Diceros bicornis minor: one gene and its partners. The protein of the gene in region 4 interacts with the protein of the main gene of each other region in a pairwise test. Links are inferred from orthologs where the notes say so. Each region holds a gene or a part of one and is shown on either strand. Other genes may lie near its edges. The genes, in order: NIF3L1, EIF1AD, EAF2 and BEND7.

Region 1 (7,227 bases), on a different chromosome or scaffold from region 4:
AAACACTTTAATGGCTTCCGTTTGTTCTTGGAATAAAATACAAAATCCTCAGCAGGCCCAACAAGCTGTTCATGACCTGGGCCACCTCTGCATCTCAGATGATGATAACCTATTCCCTGTTGCTCACTATGGTAACCCCATCAGCCTCCTGAAAAGTCATCCAAAAGAGGCAGGCTTCCCTACCTGGAGGACTTTGTACCTGCTCTCTTCACACCTGCAGTGTTCTTTTTATATCTTTCCATTGGAGATGCCTTCATTACCTTTCACACTAAGTTTAAGTATCACTTGCTTAACTTTGGCCTGCCCTCACCTTCTTTTAAATAATTCCTTTCCCATTATTCTCAATCTTAACACTTTATTTCCTTCAAGACAATATCACCCTCTAGAATTACTTTTTTTCTAGAATGCATTTTTCCCCTGCCTATTTTCCCAGCCAGAATATTAACTCCAAGAAGCCAATGCCGACAGTGTCCAAACTCCACAATGTCTCTTGTTCATCATTGTATTCCCAAACGCTAGCAAGACAGCCTTTTATAAATGAATGCTGAGGGAATGCCTATATATAGCCAACTCTTCTTCCTTCTATCCTTGTCATTTAAACAAGTGAAATGACGTATGGAACAGTTCTCTTACCTAATTTCTAATGATTATTTACGTTTCCTGAGGAAAATGAGCCAAAAGGAAAAGATACCAGGCACTCTATACCTGGAGAAAAATTATTTCTCCTTTTCTTTCTTTTTTTTTTTTGTGAGGAAGATCAGTCCTGAGCTACCATCCGATGCCAATCCTCCTCTTTGTGCTGAGGAAGACTGGCCCTGGGCTAACACCTGTGCCCATCTTCCTCTACTTTATATGGGATGCTGCCACAGCATGGCCTGACAAGCAGTGCATCGGTGCGCGCCCGGGATCTGAACCCAGGTCGCCAGCAGCAGAGCTTGCACACTTAACCACTACACCACAGGGCCAGCCCGCTAACAATGGTTTTATAGAAAAATTTTTTGGGGGGGCCGGCCCCATGGCTCAGTAGTTAAGTTCGGTGCGCTCCGCTTCAGTGGCCCAGGTTCAGTTCCTGGGCGTGGACCTACACCACTCGTTGGTGGCCATGCTGTGGCAGCGACCCACATACAAAATAGAAGAAGACTGGCACAGATGTTAGCTCAGGGCCAATACTCCCCAAGCAAAAAGAGGAAGATTGGCAACAGATGTTAGCTCAGAGTGAATCTTCCTGAGCAAAAAAAAAAAAAAAAAGAAAGAAAGAAAGAAAGAAAAGTTTTTTTTTGGATGTCGTTATTTTCTTAAGTTAGATGATTCAATTTCAAAATGGTTATCCTGTTGCATTAACTCACTTTTTTATGTACATAATGGTACTCACTTCACATGTTTTAGGTGTCCTTTCACAGAAGACTTCTATTTTAATATCACCTACATCTGTATGCAGTGTCACCGACTAAAAAGGAGAGAGGATGTGAGAACAAAAGAAATTTCTTCAGGTGACCTTATGCACTATATGATTTCCCTAACTAGATATTAAAGATGACAAACTGAATAAAAGCAGAGAGGAAGAAATACGGTTTCAGAGATGAACCACCCACATAGCAGCTCTGAGAGACAAGATGTATTTCTTCTTCTTCTTTTTTTATTTTTTTGAGGAAGATCAGCCCTGAGCTACCATCCATGCCAATCCTTTTTTTTTTTTTTTGCTGAGGAAGACTGGCCCTGAGCTAACATCTATTGCCAATCCTCCTCCTTTTTTTTTTTTTTTCCCTTTTTCTCCCCAAAGCCCCAGTAGATAGTTGTACGTCATAGTTGCACATCCTTCTAGAAGCTGTATGTGGGACGCCACCTCAGCATGGCTGGACAAGCGGCGCGTCGGTGCTCGCCTGGATCCGAACCCAGGCCGCCAGTAGTGGAGCGTGTGCAATTAACCGATAAGCCACGGGGCCAGCCCCAGATGTATTTCTTCAAAATTTATATCAGCAATAGAAAAAAACTCCATAAGATAAATATAAATACTAAGGTAAAATGATATCTAGTCTAAAAACTTGGGAGCAAGTATTATGATGGAAATAATTAATTTAAGTTTGAATTTTTCATCAATAAAAATAAAAATTCTTATGTTAGTATTATTGATTAAATGGCAATTCACTTACATCATTAATATTTATTGAAAAATAATAAGGAAATGATTTTTCAAAACAGTTTTCACCATTTCCCTTAATGTAATTTAATTGTGAGAGACAGGGTTAAAAACAATTCCTTTCTCAACTAAAGACAACAGACATAAAAAGTGTCAGTGCTTCTAGATCCTAAATATGCAGAGGTAACCATGGTACTCTTTCTTGCCTGCTTTTTGTTTATCTGTTGTTTTGGTAGCTTACCTATTCTTTTTGTTACCCCATTCCAGACAGGGGGAAAACTATTCTGAGGCTTCCGTTTTCATTTCTTCTTACAGTAGGATCTAGCAGTCAGAGAGTATGGCCAGGCAGAGGACAGGAGAGTGTGTGTGTTGGGGGGCGGTGGGCAGGGCATTATTCTCATTGCTTTTCTTCTACTTCAAGCTCTAGTTGCCCACCTTAGTCCAGAGCAAAAGGATTCAATTAAAATTATCACACCTGGCTACACTCTTCTGCTCTTCCAACTCCCCCTTTCCATCTCTATCTATCTTGCAGTCAGTCTTTTTCCATAAAAGATAAATTCTGTATGGTTTAAGTGAAAATAAAAAATTTAAAAGTAATTTTGCTTATTTCTGTTTTGCTTAGAATCATTTTACACTGTATGCTTCTACAGCTTATCATTTTTCCATCTTGCCATTGAAATTTCCATGCAGTTTTATTTCCCTTGGCTGACCTTCTAAAAATTACTTATACTGAAAGACATTCATAAGAATTCCATAAAACTGGGCCGGCCCAGTGGCTTAGTGGTTGGGTGCGCGTGCTCTGCTGCTGGCGGCCCGGGGTGGGATCCCGGGTGCGCACCGATGCACCGCTTCTCCGGCCATGCTGAGGCCGCGTCCCATATGCAGCAACTAGACGGATGTGCCGCTATGACATACAACTATCTACTGGGGCTTTGGGGAGAAAAAAATAAATAAAAAATCTTTAAAAAAAAAAAAAAAGAATTCCATAAAACTTACCATTTTTCTTCTTGATGGTTTCAGGAAGCACTGTTATGTAATTTTTCAGTCTTATCGAGAGAAGTTCGAAAATGAGTCTCTATTCCCAAAAGAAAAAAAATTAAGTTCACCTTCTCTGAACTCACACATGCTCATCTTGACTGCATATTTAAAAGAAAAAGTCTTGAGAGCACCCCCCAAGTAATAAAAATACGGCTATGCAAGTGATGAGGAGCTCCTACCAGACTCAAGCCCCTCAATCGCCTACTTCTGCTCACTCTCCTTCAGGATCCTCCTGCAATCCCCGACAAGCCAGGGACATCCCCGCCCTGGGGTCTGCGCGCTGGGCGTCCCCGCCGCCCGGAACGCTGCCGCTCGAACACCTCTACGGCTGCCTTCCTCACCGCCAAGCCTGCCCAAGAGTCAGGTCTCCCTGGCCCGACAACTCGATTCAAAACTGCCTCCACCCTAGTTCCTGCCCTGTGTCCTTTTCCCACAGCACTTACACTAATACAACACACGCTCGATTAAGTCTGTCCTTTCAACAACGCCTCCCCGCCCAGAATGCTCACTCAAGCAGCCCAAGAACTCACACACACAGCGCTCAGCACGGGTCTGAATAAGCGAATGAAAGAATGAGCGACGTTACCGCGTACTTACTTAACCACTTCGGTTAGCACAGTTGTTAAAAACTTAAAACGACGCCCGCACGGGTCTGTAGACTCGAAATTAGTTTCTTCGGGTCACCGGAAGTCGAGTACGGGACCCACTAGAGAGAACGCCGCTCACCTGCTCGCCTCCTTCTCCCTCCCCGCTCCTCCTTATCTCAAAACAAAAGGACTAGACCTAGAGAGACAATGTCATTTATCCGCACCTGGAACACTTTCGACAGTGAAAGGGAACTCTTCTAATAATTACATGAGGACAAGAACCGTAACCTGGAACTATTCTGGGCAACCTTCAGAAGCGTCGTGGGCTCAGACGTAAAACGGGAAGAGCACTTCCGGCCGCTTGTCCCTCAGTTTATTCCCACACGCCAGGAGGTTCCGCGCGGGACCGGACGTGACGCACGAGAAGCGCGCCCGGGGCCGGTGAGTCGGGTGATCTTGGTTCCCGCGTGGGTGTCCGAGGCCGTCGAGGCCGGCGCGATTCATGCGGGCTGTGGCTGTCAGAGAGGTGCTGCAGCGGAGACGGGGGCGGAAAACTGGCTCCCCGCGCGGGAGCGCAGGGCACCTGTGGGGCAGCGGCCCTGCCTCGGGCTTACCTGTGCCACCGGGGCTCTTCGTTGTCCTGGAAGAGGCCTGAAGGGGGACTGAAATGAGGTAGATGAGGGGAGAGGGTGCAGTTTGCAGGCTGTAAAAGGGGCCCCACTAATGTTACTTAACGTTAACAGTCAGTGCTGGCTCTAGGCCAGGCATTGTTTCCGGCTGCCCGGATACTCTCGCGACAGCGCCGTGGGCTGGGTACTCTCCATCCTTCAGCGGCGGAAACCGCCGAGGTTAAGTGATGAGTTGCGCAGCTGTGGCCTTGGGAGGCAGTCTGGTTTTGGAGTCGGTGCTCTTACCCACCATGCTATGCCGCCTCCCGTTGTTGTTAATTGTGGCTTCAAGCTGCGCCGCGTCCCAGTTTCCTAATCTGTGAAGTGGTGCGTGTTCTCTTCTTGCTAGGGGCTCTTTCGGGTAGGACAGTAGATAACTCAGATTCTCTAGTGGGCGTGGCGGCCCACTAGAGCCTCACTTTGGCGCTTGCCATATTTAGAAGAGTCTGGAGAGTGGAGTAGTGTCAGGACGGGGAATCTGGAGAGTGGAAGTGGTATAAGGACCATTAGAAGACCTCTCAAGACCCCAGGCTCGAGTGGGTTTGGAGGCTCCACGTCACAAATCATATATTGAATAAGTACATCTCGTATTAACTATTTTGGCTGTAGAACTGTTGGAAAAAATTTGCTTTTGAAATCATTGGGCTATGAGTATTTCATTAAATTTACAATTGGCTGTGCTGTCTTGCTAATTATTGTGCATACTGTGAAATGCTTTTCTTCAAAAACAGAAATCTTCATGGATACTAAATGGGAGAGTGGTGTTGACAGTGCTGTCTTTTGGATTGGATGTAGATGTCTGAAAGGCTTGCAGACCATGTGGGCAAAGTGCCCTACACCGCTGCCTCTCCCACCTCTTGAGCCTGGCCTTCCTGTAACGGTTGGTTCCGGGGCAGCAGCCTTGCTGCCCATTGGTGACATGACCCACCTATGCATCCCGTGACTCTGGCTGCTGATAAAGCACTTAACTTTTGAAAAATATTTTATTGTTTTTTTGGTAAAACATTTTTTAATGGCAATATATACCACCCTAACTCCAAATTCTGCTGAGGTGGGGGAGGGGGAGTGTCAGTCTGTTTAGCAAGCGTTTAGTGCTGGCCTGTGTTGCTGACACTGAGATGTATAAAAGCTAGTTCCTGTTCTCTGGTAGCTTTAGCAGACTGGGGGAGACAGAGGAGCAGAAATATAACATTCTGAGAATACCAGGGCAGAGGGCAGTGAGGTGGGGAGCCACTGAAAAGGAAGGTTTGTCAAGAAAAGCTTTATTTAGGAAGTTGAGGGGGACTTGGAAAGAAGGGTAGTATTTAAAGAAATGGAGAAGAGAGGAGGGTAGTTGAAGCAAGGGTGGGGCTGGGGAGGAGGGAATGAACACTTGTGTGTTATGTACCAGGTTTGTGCTAGGTGACTTACACATATTAATCCATTTGCTCCGCTGATGGCCTGTGAGGTTATGGTGTCTCCCTTTTGTAGATGAGAAAACAAGCTCAGAGAGATTAAATGACTTAGCTAAGATTCCACCTGCTAGTAAGTGGCAGAGCCAGTATTTGAACCCATGTATGTGTGACTACAGCGCTTTTGCCTGTATGCTTTGCTGCCTCAAAGGTCCGGGCCTAAGGTGTACAGGTGTACCACTGTCTGTGTTTTGACTCCAGATACTCAGCTTTACCTGATTCCTGTATGTTGTCATCTTGTGTACGCCTGGTCCCCACGGCAGTTCGGCTGGTCGGTTCCCTGGTCTGCAGTTCTTCCCGTTCCTTCATGGATTTGAAGGCTCTCCTTTCCTCCTTGAATGACTTTGCATCCCTATCATTTGCTGAGAGTTGGGACAATGTTGGATTACTGGTGGAACCAAGCCCACCACACACTGTAAACACACTCCTCCTGACCAATGACTTGACCGAGGAAGTGATGGAGGAGGCGCTGCAGAAGAAGGCAGATCTCATTCTCTCTTACCACCCACCTATCTTCAGACCCCTGAAGCGCGTGACCTGGAAAACCTGGAAGGAGCGCCTGGTGATCCGGGCTCTGGAGAACAGAGTCGGGATTTACTCTCCTCACACAGCCTATGATGCTGCACCCCAGGGAGTCAACACCTGGTTGGCTAAAGGGCTCGGTGAGAAGCCTCTTGTTCTTTCATGTTTAATATTTTTCTTACAGGGCCAGCCCGGTGGCGCAAGCAGTTAAGTGTGCGCGGTCCGCTGTGGCGGCCCGGGGTTCACAGGTTTGGATCCTGGGTGCGCACCAACACACTGCTTGTTAAACCATGCTGTGGCAGCGTCCCATATAAAGTAGAGGAAGATGGCCACAGATGTTAGCTCAGGGCTAATCTTCCTCAAGAAAAAAGGGGAGGATTGGCATCAGATGTTAGCTAGGGCTAGTCCTCCTCACAAAAAAAAAAAAAAAAAAATTTTCCCTACAAATGCTTTAAAATTTTAGAATGTCTTTCCTATAGAGTTTGAACTGCTTTAGGGGTGGGGACCATTATTCTATTTTTATATATTTAAGAATAATGTTGCTGAAATCTGGCGATTAAATTGCATTTGAAAAGTGAGTTTTTTATCCTTAATGAATAAGGAGAGTGTGGGAAATCCTCATTCTGGACTGAGCTTCGTGGGTCCTCACTCATGTGGCGCAGTGCCTAGCACCCAGGCACTCCAGAAATGCTTGTTCAATTGAGTTGAAAGCTCAGACCCCTTCAGAATATGCTTCATAATGTCAGTCAAGTAGACATCAGAGTTTATTGAATGCTTACTTATGCGCAGCACAATGAGGGAATTCAGCATATGTCTTTTAGCTT
Region 2 (7,729 bases), on a different chromosome or scaffold from region 4:
GAGGCAGGGAAGAGCCCATGTCGAGGAAGCAGAGCAGGCAGCGTGTCCCACAGGATTCTGCTGGGTGGGCCCCAGGGCCAGAGCCACAAGAGGCAAAACTGGGCAGCCAGTGTGGGCAGGAGCCATGGGAAGGGTGTCGTGGAGGAGGAGGAAGTCTCCATTACCTCAGAGGTGCCAGCAACAATCTGGCAGTGTCAGGGCTGAGGTGGGGGGAGGCTGTGGCCCTGGTGAGCCCCTGCCTAAGCACACAAGGCCTGTGTGACAGCATCCCAGCACAGGGTCGAGGCTGAGGGGACTCTGAGGTGATGCTGGATCCATCCAGGAAAACATCCGAAATAGTATGGCCCAAAACTCCCAGGACAGCCTGCATTACTACCTCGGCCTGGGCTTCAGACTGGCACCCTCCCAGGAAGTGGCCAGTAACACAAGCTGGGCTCTGCTCTGGCCACCTGATGCCCTTCCAGGGGGCCGCTCACACCTCGCAGACCCAGCCTTGCACTGAATCCTCATCCCTACTGATAAGCATCAGTTTCCGACAAATCGCATAATTGCTGTATCCCCAGGTCTTTATTTTTGATTTCCCTTTTATCCTTCTACCATTCTGCGATGTAGCTAACAGACAAAAAAGTACACAGAACACGTCTGTTCTCTTTTAACAGACGGAGTCAACGCCTGTGGTACCACCACTCATCACTCCGGCCTCCCCCCAAAAGGTCATCACTGCCACTCTGTTTCTTTACCTTTGACTTTTGCAATAAACATTTCATTTTTCTAGTTTTACCACCTGTGTAGCAATCTCCAAGCAAGAATTCACTTGTTAACTTTACATGAAGGGGATCAGACGATGTGATGGCTTGTTTCATTCGCTTGAGGTTGGGATTCACCGGTTGTCCACAGCTCTCACCTGTTCCTCTTCACTGGTATTGATAGGCTGACATAAGAAGGCCGCTGCGAACGTTCACACGGGTGCTGGTGCAGGTACGTGTCCTCGGTCACAGCCCCCGGAGTGGAACTGCTGCGTCACAGGGTGGGTCTTATCTTCATTTTTACTAGAAAACGCCCGAATGTTTTTTCCCAAGTGTTCATACCAATCTACACTCCCACCACCTGGCTCTCAGTTCCTCTTGCTCTGTTCCCTCATCAGCACAGGGCATTGTCTAAATTTTTGCCAGTCCAGTGAGTGTATAATGGCATCTCATTTGCATTTCTGATTACTAATACAATCCAGCACCTTTTCATAGGCTTATTCACCATATGGGTATCCACTCTGGCTGCCTTGTGGGTCTTCTACCCACTTTCCTATTGTGTTGTCTGCTTTTTCTTGGCTACAGACCTTTGTTATCTTTGGGTGTTGCAAAGCTCCTTCCCCACCCTGGGTTGACAAGTCTCCTCGCTCTCTTTATGGTATCTTTAGACGAGCGAAGTTTCTATTAACGGAGTTGAATTTATCAACTTTTTAGTTTTTGCCGAGGAAGATTGTCCCTGAGCTAACATCTGTGCCCATTTTCCTCCACTTCATGTGGGACACTGCCACAGCACGGCTCGATGAGCGGCGTGTAGGTCCGTGCCCAGGATCTGAACCCGCAAACCCCTGGCCGCTGAGGCAGAGCAAGTGAACTCAACCACTCTTCCACTGGGCCAGCCCCTATCAACTTTTTCTTCTTAATTTTTCCCTACTCTGAGATCATGAAAATTTTCTCATATTAGTCCAATTTTTGTATTTAACATCTGTCATTCTCTCCTCAGCAGACTTAAGCCATCTAAAGAAAATTCTGTAAGAAAATTCTCAACGATGCTCTGCTGAAGGAATGAAAGCCAAGCAGGCCTGGGTGCCCACAGCTAGCATCTCACCTGATCTTTACCACCACCTCATTTCCCAAGTGGGGAAACTGAGGCTCAGAGAGGAAGAGTGACAGGACTAAGGAACACAGGGCTCTCAGGTACATGGGCTTCCAAGTTACTTTCTGAGGGCCAGCCTGGCTACTTCCTAAGCAGTAAGTCCATGGACAAATCACTTAGACTCTCTGAGCCCCTCACTTCCTCACCTGTACAAGAGAAAACACTTTCTTATTGTGGAAGAAAAAATGTTTGCAAAGATCTTAGTTGTGAGCCTAGTTCATACTAAGTGTTCAACAAAGAACAGGATGAAAATGTACCAAATGAAAGTGTAACTCACTTGAGCCCCCAGCTGTGATGCCCATGCTCTTTCTGCCTCCCTACGAGAGCAGGACAACCAGCAAGAGCACTGCCCACTCCTCCAGAGGCCAGGAGAGCACATGAGGATGGGCAGGGGAACTCTTACCCATTCTTAGCTGGTCCACCCTCTTCCTGCCACCTCTCACTCCCACTGACTTTTCCTCCAGGTGCTGCCTAGCCCAGCTGTTGACTCCACTGACATCTGGAACACCACAGCCCATATGGATCCCAGGAAGAATCAACCCACACCCTCTCCCACATCACTAAGGGATTGAGACACTCCGAGGCACCTGCTGGAGGCCCACGTGGCTGGGGCGGCTGCCCTCCAGGCTGGGAAGGAAGCTGCTACTTTCAACCTGCGCTGATAAGGAGGGCAGCACACCTGGTCAGTCTCTGGTGAAAAGGCGACTCCCAGCCCACCTGCTGTTCACACACGAAGCCCAGTCATGAAGGCCACTGACTTTATTGATTTAAAAAACTCTGTAAGGACAGTGACTGTTCTGCCAAAAAACGAGCCAAATGGCATAAAACAGACCACAGGTGAGGGTGGGAGTGAGGATAGGGGCCAGGAATCCACTCAGAAAAGCTGGTAATTGTCAACATGAAACTGGCAGGGGAAGGGGAAGGCAGGTGCATGCAACAGCAAGATTTCCAAAAAAGTTGAAATGGTGAAGGGAGAGAACTCCCCAAAGACTCGAGTACATCGGAGGTGAGACACAACAGCAACCTTTTCCTTTGTAGAGGACGGGAGAGGAGTCCCCACTTGGCTGCAAACTCTGCAGACTCAAGGCTAGGGCTGGGGTTTGGGGGCTCTGTGGGGAGCATCACAAGAAGGCGTCGCACCACTCTCGCAGGCACCCAAAGCAGTCCCGGGACTGCTTGGCGTTGGCGCCGCACGTGTCCTTCAGCCATTCCCGGAAGAGGTCTTCATCTTTCTTTAGCACCAGAAACTGGCCAAGGACCACGTAGGCCTACAAAACAGGCAAAGAGGAAATGCCATTAAGTACTCTGTGGGACTAAGAATAAGACCCTTAGTGTGGCATCAAAGCACAGGAGCCTGGAAGGCAGGGCAGGCTCTGCCTATGTCTTCAGCTTACACACCCCCAACAAGTACACTCACATTCCTCACTCCCAAACTACAAGAAACATTGCAGGCTGTCCCCTACCCGGCCCCCAGCCCTCCCCAGGTGCACGCAACCACCCCACACCTTGTCAAAGCCCCTTTCCTCCAGCTTCTTGCCCAGGACTTCACCAATCCCGGCCAAGCTCCCCACTGGCTTTTCCCCCATGGGTTCTGCCACGAAGTCTCGGTGCTTTTGAGAAGTTGTCATCTTGATCAGGCTGAATCTGGGAATCCCAAGAAAAAGTAGGTTAGGGCTGAAAACCTGGGCACTCCAGAAAGCCCATGAGCAATCTCATTAAGAGGAAGCTGGACCAGCCATGATGGTGGTTTTACTCGAGTCCCCTCATTTCACGGATGAGAAAACTGAAACCAAGGAAATTCTTTTCCCCACTGTTCAAGAGAAATCTCTTCCACTCCCCGTGGGAACTGGGTTTTGGTATTGCTCCAGAGGAAAATCTATCTTGCCCTAACAGGTGGCGCGCGCGGAGCAGTGGGAAGAGTCCCAGGGTGAGTAGCCAGGGGCCGCCCTGAGGCTGTCACTCCCTCTGTGACCTTGGCTGGGCAAAGAAGACACTGGTTGTACCTGGACCGGCTACCTGCTCTGAAAAACAAACGAGTGGTCGGTCTGCCCCACACGCCCCACAGCGCTCACAGGGCGCAGGCGCAAGCCGGAGCGCGCACACCCGCTCCTCCAGCCCCGCGGCCCGCCTGGGCTCCCGCCCCGTCCGCCCGCCGTGCTGGCTCCGCCCCCAGCGCGCCGCCCCGCCCCCTCCGCGCGCCTACGCGCCCACGCGCCGCCCCGCCCTCTCCCTGCATCGCGGCCAAGCTATCTGCGAGGGCGCATCTTCCGTCCCGCCTGGCACATGCGGCCCCTTCCCTCCTCTCTTCCCCGCGCCTCCTCTGGCCTCCAGCCCAGGCCCCGCTCAGCAGCTCGTGCTCACCCGCGGCTCCCGTTCCCGTAACGGCTCCTCCCGCCACCGGCTGCTCCCGCCGCTACCTCAACCCACTAGAACTTTCTTCCACTTCCGCTTCCGGGTCGCCTCAAGAGCCGCCTTAAAAAAAAAAAATCTAAATTGGGCACTTCTAGCCGCCTAGAGCCATAGAGATGAGGCGCTCCGGAGCTCGACGGTGCCTTTAGTAGGCGCTTCTTTCTGGTCGCTTCGCGGGAAGCGGGGGTCCTTTCTATGATCTCGCTTCTGGGACAGCATTTCCGGTCTCGGGGAGCGGAGGCCTCGGAGGAGAAAACTTCATTTCCTCGCTGCCCGGCACCCGGAACTCTAGGACTTAGCCTCGGCCGACCTGGCGGGGGGAAGAGTTAGAGAGACGGACAAGGGCCGGGGGGGGGGGGGGGGTGGCCGAGAGCTTCCGAGAGCGCCGGAAGTACGGTGCTCGGAAGGGACCGACGCAGGCTGACTCGCGTTGTCGTCGTCGGCGTCGGGCTTGTAGGAGTCTGGAGGGATGCGGAGGTGCGGGAGACCTGAGTCCGAGTCGACACCACCGTCGTGACCGCCGGCAAGTCCCTTTTCTGTGCCTTCCTTGGCTCAGCTGCCAAGTGTGTCGTGGAGGAACCGCTCTTAGCCTCCAGCCTGGAGAAACGGGGTCGTTCAGGCAGCACTCGTGGGAGACGAGGGCCAGAGAGTAAGTGTGGGTCTCTCTCTGAGCGTCTTTCCTGCGGGATAGGGAGGGAGGAGGGGTGGGAGGGCAACTAGAGGTGACACTTCGGAGTTTCGTTTGGAAGCCATCGATCTTGGTGGTACCAGTGCTTGTCTTCTCAGTAGCCAAGTCACAAATATCGCAGATGCCGCAGACCAAGCCGGCTCACCCTGACCTTCAGTTAATTCATTCTTAGCTTGGACTATCGCGATGGTCTCCCGCCTGGTCTCTACCTGTAATGTGTTGAGAGATTGAGCATCTGTGTTGTGTGGCTATGCTATGCCTGTAATGTACAAGCGTGCTGAGAACGATGCGATTTATCTCATCCTCCTTCCCGAGCTGTTACCAGAATGATTTATTACTCTAGAACACGTAGGTTTTATGATTATGCTAGTACTTACAATATGAGTTGTTGTATGTGTCGTACACCATGCTAAGGGCTCTCTTGTCATTTTCTCCTAACAGTAATGCTTTGCGTTAGCTATTATTTTTTTTTTGAGGCCTAGGGAAGTTGAACACCTAGGAATAGCCAAGATAGGGTTTGAATCGAAGCAATTGGATTTCAGAGGCGACATTCTTAACCAGGACGCTGTGTCACTCCTCAGTAAAAGGCTCCTCCTCATCTTCAAAACAGTTCTGGGTTCTGAGCCTGCCGTCCAAGAAACTCAGAAGGAGGAGTTGACAGTCTCTGCGTCCCTCACCTGCCTGGGACAGGACCCGGCATGTCTCAGGCCACCAAGAGGAAGCATGTGGTGAAGGAGGTGCTGGGGGAGCACATGGTGCCCTCTGATCAGCAGCAGATCGTGCGGGTGAGTGGCATTGGGCACAGGCTGCTCTGCCCACTACTCCTCCACTCCCATTGGGCCCCTGGGGTGAGAGCAGGGTGCACTGTAGCTCAGAGGGTGTTCAAGCTGGCTGATCAGCCTGACTGGTTCTTGGTCTCTCCTGGACCAGGTACTCAGGACCCCAGGGAACAATCTGCATGAAGTGGAGACAGCCCAGGGGCAGCGCTTCCTGGTAAGCATGCCTTCCAAATACCGCAAGAACATCTGGATCAAGAGAGGTGAGAGAGGCAGCTCTGGGGGGGGCGAGGGGCGGGCAGAACCATTTTCGTTGCCTTTGGCTTTCCCCACTGCCAGCAGGACTGACTGTCTTTTCTCCTCTTGGTGGACAGGGGACTTTCTCATTGTTGACCCTATTGAAGAGGGAGAAAAGGTGAAGGCTGAGATCTCCTTTGTGCTCTGCAAGGACCATGTGCGCTCTCTGCAGAAGGAGGGGCTCTGGTAGGGCAGGCCCCTTGGTCTTTCTGGCTTCTGGGAGGATTGACTTCCTAGCTGTGGAACTGGGGGAGGGAAGATCATGGCATCCCAGGCGGGGACAGCTGGAAACAGCCTTTTGGCTGAAAGATTTCTCTTTCCTTTTTGACTCTGGCTCTTCTCTTGGCACAGGCCTGAGGCCTTCTCTGAAGTGGCTGAGAAACACAACAACAACAGGAACAGGTGAGGAACAAGCCTTGGGATAGGGAGGACAGAAAATAGGGGTTCAGGCCTTGGTGTCTTGAGGGAAAAATAGAGCTTTCCTTTCTCCCTACATAGGGTTCCTGGTGAGAACTCTTAAACGTGTGCTATAATATATGGTTATGAGCATGGCTTGAAAGTCAGAGGCCCTGGGTTAAAATCTTAGCTTTGCCACTTATAACTGAGTGACTTGAAGCAGCTTACTTAATCTCTTAAGCCTCAATTTCATCACCTTTAAAATGGGAGCTTTGGGGCCGGCCCAGTGGCATAGTGGTTAAGTTCACGCGCTCCCCTTCAGCAGCCCCGGGTTCACAGGTTTGGATCCTGGGCGCAGACCTACACACTGCTCATCAAACCATGCTGTGGTGTCCCATATACAAAATAGAGGAAGACTGGCACAGATGTTAGCTCAGGGACGATCTTCCTCAAGCAAAAACAGAAAGATTGGCAACAGATGGTAGCTCAGGGCCGGTCTTCCTCACTGAAAAAAAAAGAGGGTTGGGGGGAGCTTTGTGAGGGTTAAAGGAATCAGTGTTTATGAAATTGCTTAGTATAGTACGTGGTATATAATGTGGGTCCACTGAGAGTCAGTGGTGGTAGAATGGTTGTTATTAAAACCTGTGGGTCTAGCAAACTTTTGAGGGGGGTTGGGAGGTAGTCTTTAGGCTGTTTTTGCTCTGCCTCTCTCTTTGTCTGATTTGCGGAGCCCTGGCTGCTTGGCCATGTGGTCCTCCTTTTTGTGGGCCTCCTTTATTGCAGATCTGGTTTCCCCAGAAGGCATTGGGCTAACTCTTTCTTTTTTCCCCATGTAGACAGACTCAGCCAGAACTCTCAGCTGAGCCGCAGTCATCAGGAGAAGAGTCCAGCTCTGAAGACGATTCCGACCTCTTTGTTAACACCAACCGCAGACAGTATCATGAGAGTGAGGAGGAAAGCGAAGAGGAGGAGGCGGCCTGAGACCCCAGAACCCACTTTTCCTCTTGCTCAGAGACTCTTTGGCTCCTCTGAGCATGGACATTCCCAGGGTGCTCTGCAGGTCTTCCCCACTGGGTGGGGACAAGGCAGAGCCCCTCTCTGAACTGACCTTCTGACCCAGGAGAATTAAACCCCTGGTGGGTGGTGACTTGTGCTGGTGTCCGAGTCCCTTTCTGGAGGGAAGAGGGACTTGTGATGAAGTTGAAACCTGCTCCTTGGTGGAGGCCTCACGAGCAGGTGGGCTGAATGGGCAGGAAATGGGGAA
Region 3 (7,051 bases), on a different chromosome or scaffold from region 4:
ACCACCTTTTGGGGAGTGGCTCCACTTGACACCTCAGACAGCCTTCCTGTACTCACTGCCCATGAGTTCATCATTTCATGACAGCAAAAAGTGGTGTCATTTACAAACTTAAGAATTTCAACATTTATTCCTTTATCTGCATATAAATTGTAAAACTAGCACTAGCCCAAATCGAAAATTTATTCTAGTGGGTCCTGTTACTCAAACTCTTCTACCCAGTGAAACATTTGTTGCTAAGCATTTAGCTTATCATTTATAGAACATCCCATGTCTTCCCTACCACATGCTAGCTATCTTTTTGACAGGTTTTATCGCCAAGCCCTGATAAATGCTTTTTGGAAGTCTAAGTAAATTACATTCATTGGCACTCCTCATATACACATGAATATAACCCTTCAAGAATAATGGTAACTACTATTTATTCTCTACCATGCACCAAATACTGTGCTAGGTTGTTTCTGCTATGTTATTTAATCCTTAAAAACTTTGAAATGTTGATATTATTATTATCATTTTACATATAAGAAAACTGAGGTTGAGAGCTTAGAGAATGTTTCCAAAGTTACACTACATATATAGGTGGTGGAGGCCAGAATTCACATTCAGGTTTTTTCAAAGCCTCAGCATATTGGACAGTCTTTACCTCTATACATAAAGATAGAATTTTACTTCCTTGCAGATTACATTGACTTCAGTGTTTGTTATAAATTAGGTCCATCTGCTCTGTATGAAAGTCAGATTTCCTATTCTATCGTTTCCATCCCTCACTCTGAGTCCTTAAGAGTGAGGATCATATGGGAAATGAACCTATCCTCAAGGATAATGACTAGTATTATTTAAATAAATTTAGAAATATTCTGCCTGCTTCAACAATAAGAATAAAACTAAGGCCTGAAAACCTTTCTAATGTCTTCCACAGGACTAAGAGTGTATTCAAACCTCTGGGTTTATTGTGGTTGTTATTACTGCTGTTGTTTTGCTTATTTTTGTTTATTTTCATTCTTGTAGTTGGATCATCTGATTCTCTGACTCTGAAGACACAATTCCAGCATTTTGAGAACTTTTATAAATGAAAGGTTCTGAAGCACCTGCCAAGTGTTTTTCAAAGGCTTTTTTTAATTCACTTAATTTGGGGTTCATGCCCTTAAAAAGAGAATATATACCTGAGTTATATGAAAATATATTCTTGAGCAAATTTTTTTTTTTTTGGTGGGGAAGATTGCCCCTGAGCTAACACCTGTGCCAATCTCCCTCTATTTTGTATGTGGGACGCTGCCACAGCATGGCTTGATGAGCAGTGTGTAGGTCCACGTCCGGGATCCAAACTGGCGAACCCTGGGTCGCCGAAGTGGGGTACGCGAACTTAACCACTACGCAACTGGGTCGGCCTCTGAGAAATTTTTATAATCTTAAAGTTTGTAACTTGAAAAATTAATACTAAAACTACTGCATACCTGAGAAAGAAGAGGAAAGGAGAGAGGAGATATTATTTGAGAGAAAGGCATGGAGAAACCAGATAAGAACTATATCATACTTTTGGAAAATGGGACTGAAGGAGAGAAACTGCACAGCCAGCACTAGCTGTCTCACTGTGGGGATCCTTGGATGAGAGTTAGATAAAGAAGAATAAACCAGAGACACTGTTGAAGATCTTCTGTTTGCAAATACCTCCCTCATTTATTCTACCAATTGGATATTAATTTTGCTTAATAAAACCCTTTTATAAAATGTAAATATATCCTTGGAAAGTTCAACCTATTGGTTCTTCATACCTTTACTGTGAGTTACTATCATTAGATTATCTAAAACTTAAGTAAACTTTTGGAGAATGTGAGTTTTAATTGGGTGTTTTGATGGAAGCGTGGAACACTTCCGAATAAAAACCATAGAGATCTGTGGACAGTCTAAGGGCAGAATGACTGAGAAAGGTGGAATGATGAGACACAAAGGAATGGCAGGGCTGGGGAAAGGAAGTGAAAAACTACCTACTTCACAATTTTGCCACAGAAAAATAAGAGGTTATGATTCAATGACCTCAGAGTTTCCTTTCCGCTCTATAATTCTATGAGGGCTATTATGCAAAGAAGGAATGTTTTACATGCCAAATCATAATATGCTACATTTTCCTTCCTGGAATCTACACCATCCAACTATTAAAGCAAAAGAGCTCCCTTTTCCACCTCAACAACACAAAAAAGAATAATTTATCAAAACTAGTCCCAGAGGACAACCAAGAGAAAATCAAAAGAAATCATAGGGAGGTTAAGTATCTTTTTAATGAAGAAATTAAAGACACACCCTCCAACACTTTGATAATCAGTATTTGATAAGTGACTGAATGAAATCAGGGGTCCAAAAGAGATACAGATCAGAATGGTTCAGAATCTCACCCCAGGAACACACTAAATAAGAACCTCATCAGCCAGAGACAGAAAAAGTGAAGAAGGGAGAGAATATTTCCCCACCAGCCCCAGGCATTCTCTGCCCCCTGCATAATAGTTGGGTTCTTTGCTCTCTTCCATTTGCCACATTATTTTCCTTTCCACCTCTGCATCATCCACCAGTCACGCCTGTCTCCACAGTCACCCATGCAGACCCTGTCCACAAAGTTTCCTTTTCTGCCTGTTGGTCTCACTTGAATCTCTCTGCCCAGGGTTTACCCACACCTGCTCGACTCCGGCTCCTTCCACTGACCTTCTAGGACCTCACGGAGGGCAGCGGATCGCGCTGGCACCCCATTCTCCAGCAGAGGAAGGAGGTCTGTGGGAACACAGCTCAGAGAGGTCTGTGCCTTCACACCCCCATACCCAGAGCTCCCCCTCTTTCCCCGGGGTCATCCTCACTCACAGCGCACAGTGTGGAAGGCGCAGCGCGGATACTTCTCGAAACTCTCGCCTAACTTGAGAACCCGCTCGCGACTGTCAATGCGCGGGCGTCCCCCTGTTCCATTCATCATTATGCTCGGGCTCCGACTTGGCCTCCACTCGCGCCGCTCGCTACCATCTGCCACCTCAGCCTGAACCAGCTGCACTTGTTGCGGCCCGCCCAGCCACCACGGACTCCGCCCCCCGCCCGACGCGCGCGGCCCCACCGGGCGCTTCTCGCGTGCGATTGGTTGCCTGGCTAGTGGCGCCCCGCCCCTTGGCTCCGAGGATCGTGGTCCCGCCTCCAGGCCCATTCCCGCGTTGCGACGCACGCCGTCCCGGGAAGCCGCGCAAGGGAGGTGGGTGGTGGGAGCGGGGTGCTTTGGTGGAGGAACGCCGAGCGAGCATGAGGTGACCGTCCGAAGTTGGCGGCTGGGGAAGGAGAGGGCCCCGGGATAGCGGCAGGCCGGCACCCCAAGGTTTCTGGGCCAACTGACCCGGCACGTAGGGGCTCTTAACGGGAGAATCGGCGTGCTCCACGCCCTTTCTGTGGAGATCTGGTGTGGAAACTGAGGCCCGGGGAGGGGCGGAGTCTGGGCACAAGGCCTGGCGTCTTGCCCAAGGCCTGGTAGCGCCAGAGCTGGGTCTAGAATGCCGAGTAAAAGACCCCGCGGCCTCGGAGCCTCGGTCCTTGGACCTGACTGGAGGCGACGCCGTTACCTCAGCAATCGTTTTCTGACCTTCTGTCCCAGCGGAAGTTCCCGGTGGTGTCAGGACCGGGACAGGGGACCGGGAGGGAGAGGAAAAAATGATTCGGAGTTAGGAACTGCAGATGTTTAGGATCAGTTGCAAGTCGATTGCATCGGGTTGCTTCTTTTATTTATTTCCTTCACAGTGATCCGCGGCGGCGGTAACGGCGGTGATCCGTGGAGGCCGGGAAGACGAGGTTCCCAGAGGATCGAGCTCGTGCTCTGGCAACAGGGTAATAGCTTTAATAGTTGAAAACTAATTGTCTTTTTTCTCTGTCAAAAGTTCGTGAGTTCAATGGTAAAGAGGAGAGAAGTGCTGTATTAGAGGAGAAGCGCCCATGAGAAAGTTTACAAATCGTTGCCATATCAGGTGGCGGTCTTTCAGGGTAGTTATGTGATCAGACTCTACTCCTTCACTGACCTTCTGCCTTAGCCAGATTTGTCGGTTTATCGTTCCAGGCGGGTAGATGGATGTGTCTCCCGCAACCTCTCTGCTTGTCTTAATTCTGCTCTTTTAAGGGGTACTCTGTTTCATGTGGTAGTTAAGCGCTCAGCTTCTGGAGCCAGAATTTTTGGACTTGAACCTCAGCTTCATACTGTATAGTGTGACTTGTGCAAACCAAAGTTAAGTATGCTCGTCATTAAAACTGGGGGAAAAATAATAGTACTTATACCTGAGAGTTGGTGAGAGGGTTAAATGAGTTAATACATGAAAGCGTTTAAAACAGTTCATGGCATATAGTAAAAGCTTTCCAAATGGTTATTATTGAGGCTTAACTCTGCTCTCATGCAACATTTTAGGACCATCCGTGGTGGCTGCCTTCTCTTCTAAATCTTGAATTATTCTAGGAGGTAGGAATTGCTATTTTGTTTACTTTACAGCTAAGAAAACTCGTTCAGGGATGCCCAGTCCACCAACTCTGTGGTTTGTATTCTTATTGTCTGTGTCATCTATTTGGCACGTAACGCTTTTTATATAATTATTTTACATATATGTATATATGTGTGTGTGTATACTTTTCTTTCCCAACCAGAACATGAGCAGGGCATCTGTCCTATATAAAATCTTTGTGACGCTTGCATCTAACATAGTGCCCTACACACATGTGGTGATAATGACAATATTTCAGTGATGTTTCATTATGTTAGCCAGAGAGCAAGAACAGTGTTTCAAGTCGATTTTACCTTAAAAAGGCTTCCAATCAGAAATCTGAGGTTTCCATTTTGTGACAAGGAGAAAAGCAGAGGGTCAGGAAATTGAGTTTTGGAATGCTCAAAGTTTGTGCAATTATTCATTCTTCCAACATGTATTTATTAAGTACCTACCACAGGCCAGGCACTAGTCTAGCCTCTGGGAATGTAGTAGTGAACCAGAGAGATAAGAAGACAACCAAGGATGGTATGAATTCTGCCCTTGTGAAGCTTACTTTCTAGTATGAATTTTCTCTAAACATATATTAAAATGAATTCTGTTGTACTAGCCCAGAAATAAACAAATAGATTAATGAACTAAATAGATTCTAAAAATATGCCCAAGTGACATTTCAGATTGCTTCTATTATATCTCTTCATGAGAAATTACCTTAGGAATTTCTGACAGCTATGTGCATTTGTTCTTTTTTCACCAATCTGTAACCTCATCTAACTTGAAAAAATTTAGATTTCTTACACCATTCACAAAAATAACTTACATGTGTATTGAAGATATAAATAAAGATATAAGTAAATGAAGGTAAGTAAAACAAAACTATAAAAACACTAGAAAAAATTAGGAGAATATATATTAGCACTTAGGGTAGGGAGAACCTTTCTAAGCATGACACCAAAGGCAGAAGCCATAGAGGTAAAGATTGTTATACTTGACTATAAAAAATTTGTAAAACTATGGTAAAGCCACTATAATCAAACTTAAAAAATTATATGACAGACAAGGAGAAAGTGTTTATAGCCAATATAAAGGATAAAGAGTTCATATCCCTGTATGAATAGATTAAAGCTTCTGTGAAAGAATAAGACAAGCTGATAGAAAAATTGTTAAGAGATATGAATAGAAAATATATGAAAGAAGAAATGGCCAGGGAACATGAAATGTGCCTAACCTACTAATAATCAAAGAAATACAAATTAAAACAAGATGATACCATTTTTCATCTAGTGGATTAGCAAAAATGTAGAAGAACATATTATGTATTAGTAAACTTATAGTAAAATGAGCACCCTCATACATTGTTGGTGGAAGTATAAATTAGAACACCCATTTTAGAGAAAAATTTGGTATCATCTAATCAAAATTTTAAAGATATATCCTGTGACCAAGCCATCCAACTTCAAGGGAAATTCACTCTACCAGTACTAGCATGAGTGCCTAAACACATGTACATTGATATTCATTGCAGCATTGCTTGTGATAGTGTACACTGTGAATGACTTCCAGTAGACAGGATGTTTAAATACATTTTGATACACTCTTAACAAAGGAAGCATAGCAGAATGCAGCCATTCGAAAGAATGAGATAACTCTCTATGTAGTCTCTTGGAAAGTTATATGCCTACTATGTGCCAAGAGTTGTGCTGGGCTTTCTTTAAAATATTTCCAGAAAACTTGTTTTTTAATGATTTATATTTTACCTAATAAGGGATGATTTTTGGATGCATGTATTAGGCCAACTCGTCAATATAAAGGATGGGCTGTGGTGCCAGTTATGAAGAATAATAGATAAAAAAGTGAGTTAGAAGTAGGTCACTTGGGAATATGTTTTGTGTTTTTTACTGTTTTACATGGGAGGGAATATAATGAACATTGTAATGAAAACCACAGACTTTGAAGTCAGACTGATCTGAATTTGATTACTGACTCTACCACATGCAGTTGGAACCAGAACAAGTTTGTCAACTTCTTCGAGCTTTATTTTTCTTACCTGTAAAATGGAGATGATTATAGGCTCTACCTCATAGTCCTGTTAGGATTAAATAAGATAATGCATGTAGAAGCACTTAGCACAGTGCTTAGTTCATAGTAAACACTTAATGTATGTTAGCTTTTATTAATTATAGGTAAAGATTATGCTTTTTTTAAATGATGACATTTTGAGCTTTGAATGCCTTAAATTAAAACTTTTTATAAAGAAAAGTTTTAGAAACAAACTGAATCAGGATGTGGATTTTTTTTTATTTTAATATAATTGATTTTATTCACTATGCTGTTTATAAGCAAGCTTTGGTTATCTTATAATTACATAACATTTCTGAGTTTCGTGTTGGAAATCCCCAAGACCAACCCCAGTTTCAGTGATTTGCTAGAAGGGCTCACAGTTCTCAGGATATGTAGTCATTCACAGCTGTGATTTATTACAGTGAAAGAATACATAGCAAAATCAGCAAGGGAAAAGGCACATGGGGCAAAAGCCAGAGGAAAAGAGATGCAGACTTCCAAGAGTC
Region 4 (7,972 bases):
AATAGCGGCTTCCTGGAAATTGAATTTCTGTTATCCAGATGTCAAAGATGTAATACCCCAATTACACAAACTATTGCCAGTGAAGCATGCCAGCGAATATGCAATGTAAATGGGGTGAGCGCTGAGCGTCAAAACTGCACAGTCAGCATCTGGCTCTGGGAGTGAGTGATAATTAGCACTGTGTGTAGACACTAATAAACATTTATGTCTGAAATTACAACTTTTAGCAATGTTAATAAGGGATATATTGGCAATCTGTAAAATAAAAGGTCTTGAAAAGAATGTCATACATTTAGCAATGGCAGACATTTCCCATTCTGGCCCAATCATTTTTTTCCCCCTAATTGCAAATAGCCACACTGTTTTGCTGAGAAATTAATTGACACAAGAACCTACCTAAAAAAATGGGTTGTGTCTCTTTGGCCTCCCCATTAACATCGTTGCTGAATTCTGAGCTCTTATATACCTCATGGTGATAATCTAGGATGAGAAAACAACCAAAAATTAGAATTCTAATGACCTGCGAGATATGAATAAGCAATAAAGACTAGAGTCTCATTATATATAGTATGTATAATCTATAATTTATAAATACAACTTTCAATTTATAAATAGAATTTTCAAGAATTTTCGGTTAATCACAGAATTTGTAGTCACTAATAACTCCTAAAACTTTGCTTACTCTGAAGACGTACACAAACTTGAGATATTACTTTAACTTTAGAAAACAGCTTTGCTTGGTCACACAGTTTTTACAGTAAATTTGACCCAAAGATGCCAATTACTAGGCTTCTTTTCTTTCAAATGACAAGTCTGTTTATAAGGAAAAGAAAAATCTTGCCCAATCATAGGCCAGGGGAGGATTCCAAATTTATCTCTACAGCCCATTTTCATGAGTACATCAATAGTATGCTTTAGAGTTACTCAGTGCTCTCAGTTTTCTCAGTTTACCCAGAAAAATTCCAGCCTTTAAGCAGCTTGCAGGCAAACACATATGAAAATACTGATTTGTTATTTCAAAAATAGTCTAATTTGGATAAGAAAGCAAGATTCTCATCTTTCCCACAAGTGAATCTTTTGCAGTCAGCTACTGCACTTTAATATACAATAATTTATTTTCTAAAAATGCACCTGTAGAGCAGAGAGAAGAAGCAGACTCATAATTTAAAAAAAAAAAGAAAAAAGGAAAAAGAAAAAAATTGCTATGTCAGTCAAACTTTAAAATACAATATTTCCCAAGCTTCTCTATAGAGGCGACTGTACTTGGGCAATTGTCTATTTCTAAAAAGTAGGATCATCTAGGTAAGAAAACCTTAACAGCTCTTCCCTTTTTTTTGGCCTTGGACCTCACAGGATGAGGTCTACAAAACGACTCTCACTTTTAAGATAAAGTAGTAAGTGCCCTGAGGTGATAAATAAGAAAGCAGCCTACATTGCTGAATGAATCAGATAGACCCACAGGCTAGTCACATATGGAGAGACTTTTAAAGTACAAATGACTATAATCAACACTACTAGAAAAAATGTACATAAAGGGAGGAGCCAAATATTTTGAATACATAAAACTATTTCAGGCCTCTTTCATTAAAAAGTATCCAAACGAAATCAGGGGAAACAGATATGAGTGGATCTTCAAAATGTCTACAATCAGACTATTTTCAGACTAACCAAAAGCAAGCCATATTGAAGCTACATCATCGTTAGCCCAGCTTATCTTGAAAAGCTCTATTACTTGCAATTGCTCTCTAATTTTCATCAGCTTACATGTGACTTCTCCAGGTTGTTAAAACAATCGCTTTGCTCTCTACTCTGATGCCAATGCTAGATAAAACAGAGGAAAAGAGGATAGCTTCTCTGGTTGGGTTTTGACCTCAAGTTGATTCAAAGAAGATATTTAAACAGGTTCTAACCTCAATATTAAGACTTGTGACATGACGATGAAAAAAAGTCACCTCCCTCCAATTTAAGGTGACACAATGCATTTTGATAGACATTATTTTTACGCCTGCTCTTAAGTGCTCATCCTTTTTTAAAAAGTCAAATCAGGAAAATAAAGACTCTAACAAGTAACTGAACACGGACAAGACTATTCAACTTGCCCCTCCCCTGAGAAAATAAACCCAAGCCCCAAAGACTGTGGTGTACACCTGTTAAATCGTCAGTAACCGGCGGGTTTTTTTTTGTCTTAATGATACTTGTCTGGCTGATAAGTGATCTGTTCTACAACAGCTTTCCAACCCAACTAACGTATCTAGAAAAGATGCTGGATGTCAACAATTCTCATTTAGGTTTGTACACCTAACGAGCTTCTTTCTCGTTCTTAAAAGAACCACCACCTTTTTTCCTTCTCTTTGGGGGAAAATAAAACCCCACAACCATTGGTCGGGATTCGTGTCCGCACGGCCTGATGGAAAGGCAGACCTCCCCCACCCCCCAACCTAGCTACAGGAGCGGAATGCCGAAGAAGCCTCTCGGCTCCCCAAGTGTCATTGTTTGCTAATTTCCTGATGTGCCCTCCGACTTGTTTACGCGGAATAACATCCTGCCTCTCCCCCCGCACAACTTTCCCCGCCGCCCGCGTGTGCGGCCGCAGCCCCCCTCGGGAAGGAAGCCAGACCCCCGGCGGGGGCGCGCGGCCGGGCGCGGGGATGTTTACGCGGCGCCAAGTCCTTCCCCGCCGGCCGCACGCCCCCCGCCCGGCCGGCCCGGCCCCGGGCGCCGCTTACCTCGGCTCACCAGTTTGAAGCTCTGCGATTTCCTGCTTCGCTTCCTCTCCGAGAACTCCATGGTGCGGGCAGGAGCGGGCGGCCGGGGCTGCGGCGGGGGCGGCCGGAGCGAGCGGCGGCCGAGGCGGCGGCGGCGGCGCTGGCTCTTGTCACCCGGCAGCGGGAGCGCCAGGACCAAGGTCCGTGTCTGGAATCCGCAGGGGGGAGGCGGAGGAAAGGGAAAAACCACCTCGAAGCCCCTCGGGGGCTGCGGCGCGCGGGGCTCGGCAGGAGGCGCCCTCCCGGGAGAAGCGGCCCCCTCCTGGTGGCCGCCTCCCGCGCCCTCAGCGCGCCCCCCGACCCCCGCTCATGCCCGGCTTCTTTGAAGACGCAGCCGGAGCCGAACTTTCCGTTGGGGAGCGAGTGGGGGGCGGGGAGGGCGCGGCGGGCCGGGCTGCCGGCGCCCTGGGCGCAGCTCCGGACGCGGCGGCGGCGGCGGCGAGCGCGGCCCCGGGGACGCGGCGGGCGGGCGGGCGGGCCGAGGGCGGCGGCGGCGGCGGCGGGGTGCGAGCCGGGTCGGGGCGCTGACCGCCCCCGCGGGAGGAGGGGCGCCGCGAGGGGGCGGCGCCGCCGGGACCCCGGGGCCACCTGCTGGCGGAGCGCGGCCGCCGCCGTCCCCGGGGGCCCGGGCCGCCGCCACCCACCGGCCTGGCCGCGCGGCGCCCCGAGGACGAGCCGGAGGCCGCGGCGCAGCGCCCTCGGCCCGGCCGGCCGCCCTGCCCCCTGGGGACCCCGGGCCCTGCCCGGCGCGGGGGTCCTGCCGCTGGCGCCGCGGGGGCCGGGGACTCGGGGCGCTGCTTCCCGGGGGGCCCGGCTCTCGGCCCTGAGCTCGCCTGCGTCTCCCCGCCGCTTCCTGGGGCCGATCTTGTTATAAATAGTCCTGGGTGTCGGGGACTCTCCTGGCCAGCCCACTCCTTGCCTTAAGATTCGGGGTGTCGACGGGCCGGACTCACTGGTTTTAGGCAAGTTTTAGGGGAAAAAAAATACAGCTTACCCATCTGCGCTCTGCAAGGAAACGAAGGGATGTTAGAATTTCCTGGTGAGAAGAGTACAGAAGAGTGAGCTGCTATACCCAAACACGAGGAGGGTTGTAGGAAGATCCGGAGTTATATTCAAGGAGAGAACTTGGAATGTGGGGCTTGGAGAGGGTGCAAAGGGTGAGGGGTGCGACGTCAGAGGGTGCTTGATCGCTCTGCTGACTTTTACGGAAAAAATAAGGCAGGTGCAGGGGACTCTGCCACTTGATGTAGTAATGCCAAAATAATTGGCATAAACAGGAAGGCTTTATTAGTTTTATATAATATTCTTTTCTAGGGAGCTAAGAGCACACCATTTCTTTCTCACAACATCTTGAGAGTGTGGAATGGAAGAGAATTTGACACCACCTAGGCAGGGCAGTACAGGAGTGTGATCTGCTTAAAACAACCGCCGCCAGACTGATCATCTCTAGACCAAAATACGGACAGCCCGTCCAGCACTGTGGCAAATTCAGGTGGCCCCAAAAGAGTGAGAGGATTAAGGGAAAAGGGTATGTTGATAAATGTGATGTTACACAGTGCGTGTCACTCAAATGAGACAGCCACTCAGGGTCCACTCTTATTTAACAGGGAGGTACAGAGGAAGAGGGAAGTTGGAGGCAACTAGCATAAACGTACACACACCCAGAAACAAAATCAAGGAACCAGGTAACCACCAAATAGTGGAAGCAGGGCCTGGTATGCATCCTGAGGTCTTAGGTGGGCTGCAGAAAGTGAGGAGGCTGGGTATACCTGGCCAGGTTGGAGGGAGAACTGTTCATTCATTTCGCTAATGCAGACCCTTAAACAAGGGTTTCTTAAATCTTTTTGGTCAAAGATTATGTTCAAAGCTCTGGACCCTATTCCCGTAAAATACGTATAGAACAAACAAAATTTTGTATAGATTTCTTGGTGCTCTTAGACCCCTTGGCACTCTAAAAGGTGGCAGAAGGGATTAACGTGATAACAGGGATTAAATCACTACCCTGTTTGGTTTTCTTCCATTATTTTTCCTCTTTCTTTCTTTAAAACCAAGCAGTTAAAAACCCGAAGATGTTTTGAATGTTTTTAAAAAAGCAAAGCTTAATATTTTGTTCCCGGGGCTGGGACCCTTTTTTTCATTTTGTAATGCCTTTTAAAATGTTATTCCAAAAGCCACAAGGCTAGTACTATACCAATTGAGGAACATTTAGCATCGTTCATACCTTGGAGCATAAAATGAGATTTTATTATGCTTAAACTATGCTGAAATCGTTGAAGGTGCCATACCAAGAAGCAGATCCCTAGGGGAGATATTAACAACTTAGCATTTTCAGTTCAAGTGGGAATATGAATTCCATTTACTGAAGAAAATATTTTTGATATAGTTAAGAAGAAAATATTTGAAAGTAATAATGTTTTTAAATAATAATTATTTTCCTTGACCCTTTGTCCTGGCGCAGCAAAGATGGTCTATGAGCGAATTGGTCCACAGAGGGCATAGGTCAGGGCTGTCCTATTAACATAGAGAAAATCAACAAATATTTATTTATTCTCCACATTGTGCAAATCACCATGCCTTTATATAACAAAAATGTGTATTCTCATAATCAGCATTAAGTAAAGATTAATTATGATATTTAATAAAAAAGAGATTGCTTTAAGTGGTAAGTATCAGTATTAGTTGCTTGAACTGCCATAACAAAATACAATAGACCAGGTGGTTTACACAATAGAAATTTATTTTCTCTTAGTTCTGAAGGCTAGAAGTGCCAGGTAAAGGTCTGACAGGGTCAGTTCCTGGCTGGCTTCTGACAGTGTCCTCACATGATGGAGAAAAAGAGAGCTCTGGTCTATTCCTTTTCTTATGAGGACACTAATCCCATCATCAGTGCCCCATCCTCATGACCTCATCTAACCCTAAGTACCTCCCGAAGTCCCCACCTCTAATGGCCATCACATTGGGGGTTGGGGCATCAACCTGAGTTTTGAGGGGACACGATTCAGTCACAGCAGTATTGTTTTTGGTTAATTGAATGCAGCTTTTGTGTTGTGTCCTGGAAAGTCCTCTGGGAGATCTGCTAAGGTCATTTCTCTGCCTCTATAGTTGAAAGCCGCTGAAGGTTTTAGAACTGCAGGTTTACATAGTATCAAAACTCAGGGGAGGGTCCAGCTCCATGGCTTAGCCCTTAAGTGGGAGCGCTCCGCTACTGGTGGCCCGGGTTCGGATCCCGGGTGCGCACTGACGCACCGCTTCTCCGGCCGTGCTGAGGCCGCATCCCACATACAGCAACTAGAAGGATGTGCAACTATGACATACAACTATCTACTGGGGCTTTGGGGGGAAAAAAAAAGGAGAAGGATCGGCAATAGATGTTAGCTCAGAGCCGGCCTTCCTCAGCAAAAAAAAAAAAAAAAAAAACTCAAGGGAAACCCGTCAAGTATTCTGTGACTTCATGTACCCCGAACGTCATATGACCATTCTAAAATTCAGTTGATTATACAGATTAAACATAGATTTTAATCTTTGACAAAGGTAATTTGGCCAGAAAATGTTTAACACTAATGCATTTTTTTTTTAAATTATTTTATTGGAGTCATATTGGCTTACAACATTGTGTAAATTTCAGGTGTACATCACTATATTTCAGTTTCTGTATAGACTGCATCGTGTTCACCACCAATGGCCCAGTTTTTATCCATCACCATACACATGTGCCCCTTTACCCCTTTCACCCTCCCCCCACCACCTTGTCCTCTGGTAACCACTAATCTATTTTCCTTATCTGTGTGTTTATAACCCTAATTCTTAAAACTCTCTTTCTGAAAACTGTTCTGAGAAGAATAACGTTATGGACATTTCCATCTTCGTTTAGAGCCCTGCTGTCCCATATAAATATAATGCAAGCCATGTATGGAATTTAAAGTTTTTATTAGCTACATTTAAAGAAAGTAAAAAGAAACAGGTTAAATTCATTTTAGTCGTATATATCTTATTTAACCCAGTACTATATTAAAAATATTATCATTTTGACATGTAATCAATATAAAAATATTAATGAGCTATTTTACATTCTTTTTTGTGTGTGAAGTTTTGAAAATGGTGTGTGTTTTACACTTAGAGGACAAATCAATTCAGATTAGCCAAGTTTCAAGTGCTCGATAGCCATAAGTGGCTAGTGGCTACCATATCAGACAGCTCAGATTTAGAGGAACTATATAGTTTGAATCATGTTATATACATAGATATGCCTGCAACCTGATGATTCTTTAATTGTTTTATTAATAACCCTCAAAAAGAAGGAGATAAGCAGGATGGTATTATTGGGCTTGGAGCTGTTCATAAATCTTTGATTGGAGTTTCTGGAATTGAAAATCCTGTCACTGAGTAGATTCTGGAATCCTTCAAGAAGATTTAGTAAGTATAAATATTAAGTTCTCAATTTTACAACAATCGCCGGTCAGAAGGGTCATGGAGAGAATAGGCAGCCCGACTTTAGCTCCAATTTATCAATTTGTTGCTGGCCTAACTCAAGTTTCCACTTTCATTTACTTTATGGGTTTTAGCAATTGTAATTTAAAGCAAAGGAGGTGGTATTTATAAGAGATTACTTAAGTGAAAATGTGATCTTGGAGTGTTCCACAAATAATATTGCCTTATATTTAAATGAGTCTTCTCTTATAGGATCGCAGGGATATTTATACATTATCTAATTCTCTTAACTGCTATGTGAGGATTAATATTCCAGTTTTGCAAATGAGGAAAATCAGTTTTGCTAAGACCCTTTTTTAGTGAAACTTGAATGGCACACTGGTTTCCTGACTATCTTAAATATGATACATTAACCTTACTACCTTTCTGTTGTTTCTTTAAAATAAGTTTTTAATGTTCTTTTTTAAGATCTAACTTATACGGTAAAGAACACAATCTTAAGTTTACACCTCAATTTCTTTTACTTGTGTAGACATCCATGTAACCCTCCTCCCTCCAGATTAAGATACAGAGCATTTCCAGCCCACCAGCAGGCTTCCCTGTGGTCCCTCCCAGCAGATAGCCCCCCAAGGAAACCACAGTTCTAGCCTCTATCACCATAGCTTGGTTTTGCCTCTATCACTATATCACTTCATGTAAATGGAATCATACAGTGTGTACTCTTTTGTGTCAGGCTTCTTTTGCTCAACATTATGTCTACAAGATTCATTCATGTTGTT

The links.
Region 1: the proteins of BEND7 (region 4) and NIF3L1 interact in binary tests that used the Homo sapiens proteins (3 or more experiments, as listed by UniProt). The two-hybrid records come from large-scale screens. The link is inferred for Diceros bicornis minor from reciprocal best matches to the Homo sapiens genes BEND7 and NIF3L1.
Region 2: the proteins of BEND7 (region 4) and EIF1AD interact in binary tests that used the Homo sapiens proteins (3 or more experiments, as listed by UniProt). The two-hybrid records come from large-scale screens. The link is inferred for Diceros bicornis minor from reciprocal best matches to the Homo sapiens genes BEND7 and EIF1AD.
Region 3: the proteins of BEND7 (region 4) and EAF2 interact in binary tests that used the Homo sapiens proteins (3 or more experiments, as listed by UniProt). The two-hybrid records come from large-scale screens. The link is inferred for Diceros bicornis minor from reciprocal best matches to the Homo sapiens genes BEND7 and EAF2.

Annotation. Positions count from the first base shown.
Region 1 is NC_080749.1:78,809,844-78,817,070, forward strand, and holds the start of NIF3L1 (NIF3-like protein 1), read left to right. Parts: upstream 1-4,208; 5' UTR 4,209-4,429; coding exon 4,430-4,434; intron 4,435-6,082; coding exon 6,083-6,543; intron 6,544-7,227. Other genes in the region: PPIL3 (peptidyl-prolyl cis-trans isomerase-like 3), read right to left, coding at 1,373-1,447, 3,134-3,136. UniProt on the Homo sapiens protein: May function as a transcriptional corepressor through its interaction with COPS2, negatively regulating the expression of genes involved in neuronal differentiation.
Region 2 is NC_080770.1:7,291,127-7,298,855, forward strand, and holds the start of EIF1AD (probable RNA-binding protein EIF1AD), read left to right. Parts: upstream 1-4,715; 5' UTR 4,716-4,957; intron 4,958-5,538; exon of another isoform or gene 5,539-5,557; 5' UTR 5,558-5,694; coding exon 5,695-5,781; intron 5,782-5,926; coding exon 5,927-6,035; intron 6,036-6,146; coding exon 6,147-6,255; intron 6,256-6,420; coding exon 6,421-6,471; intron 6,472-7,301; coding exon 7,302-7,446; 3' UTR 7,447-7,729. Other genes in the region: BANF1 (barrier-to-autointegration factor), read right to left, coding at 3,021-3,167, 3,405-3,527.
Region 3 is NC_080754.1:22,796,242-22,803,292, reverse strand, and holds the start of EAF2 (ELL-associated factor 2), read right to left. Parts: upstream 3,015-7,051; 5' UTR 2,957-3,014; coding exon 2,848-2,956; intron 1-2,847. UniProt on the Homo sapiens protein: Acts as a transcriptional transactivator of TCEA1 elongation activity. Acts as a transcriptional transactivator of ELL and ELL2 elongation activities. Potent inducer of apoptosis in prostatic and non-prostatic cell lines.
Region 4 is NC_080775.1:14,274,254-14,282,225, forward strand, and holds the start of BEND7 (BEN domain-containing protein 7), read right to left. Parts: upstream 3,007-7,972; 5' UTR 2,906-3,006; coding exon of another isoform or gene 2,788-2,905; coding exon 2,727-2,787; exon of another isoform or gene 2,712-2,726; intron 481-2,711; coding exon 397-480; intron 1-396. Other genes in the region: PRPF18 (pre-mRNA-splicing factor 18), read left to right, coding at 2,786-2,905.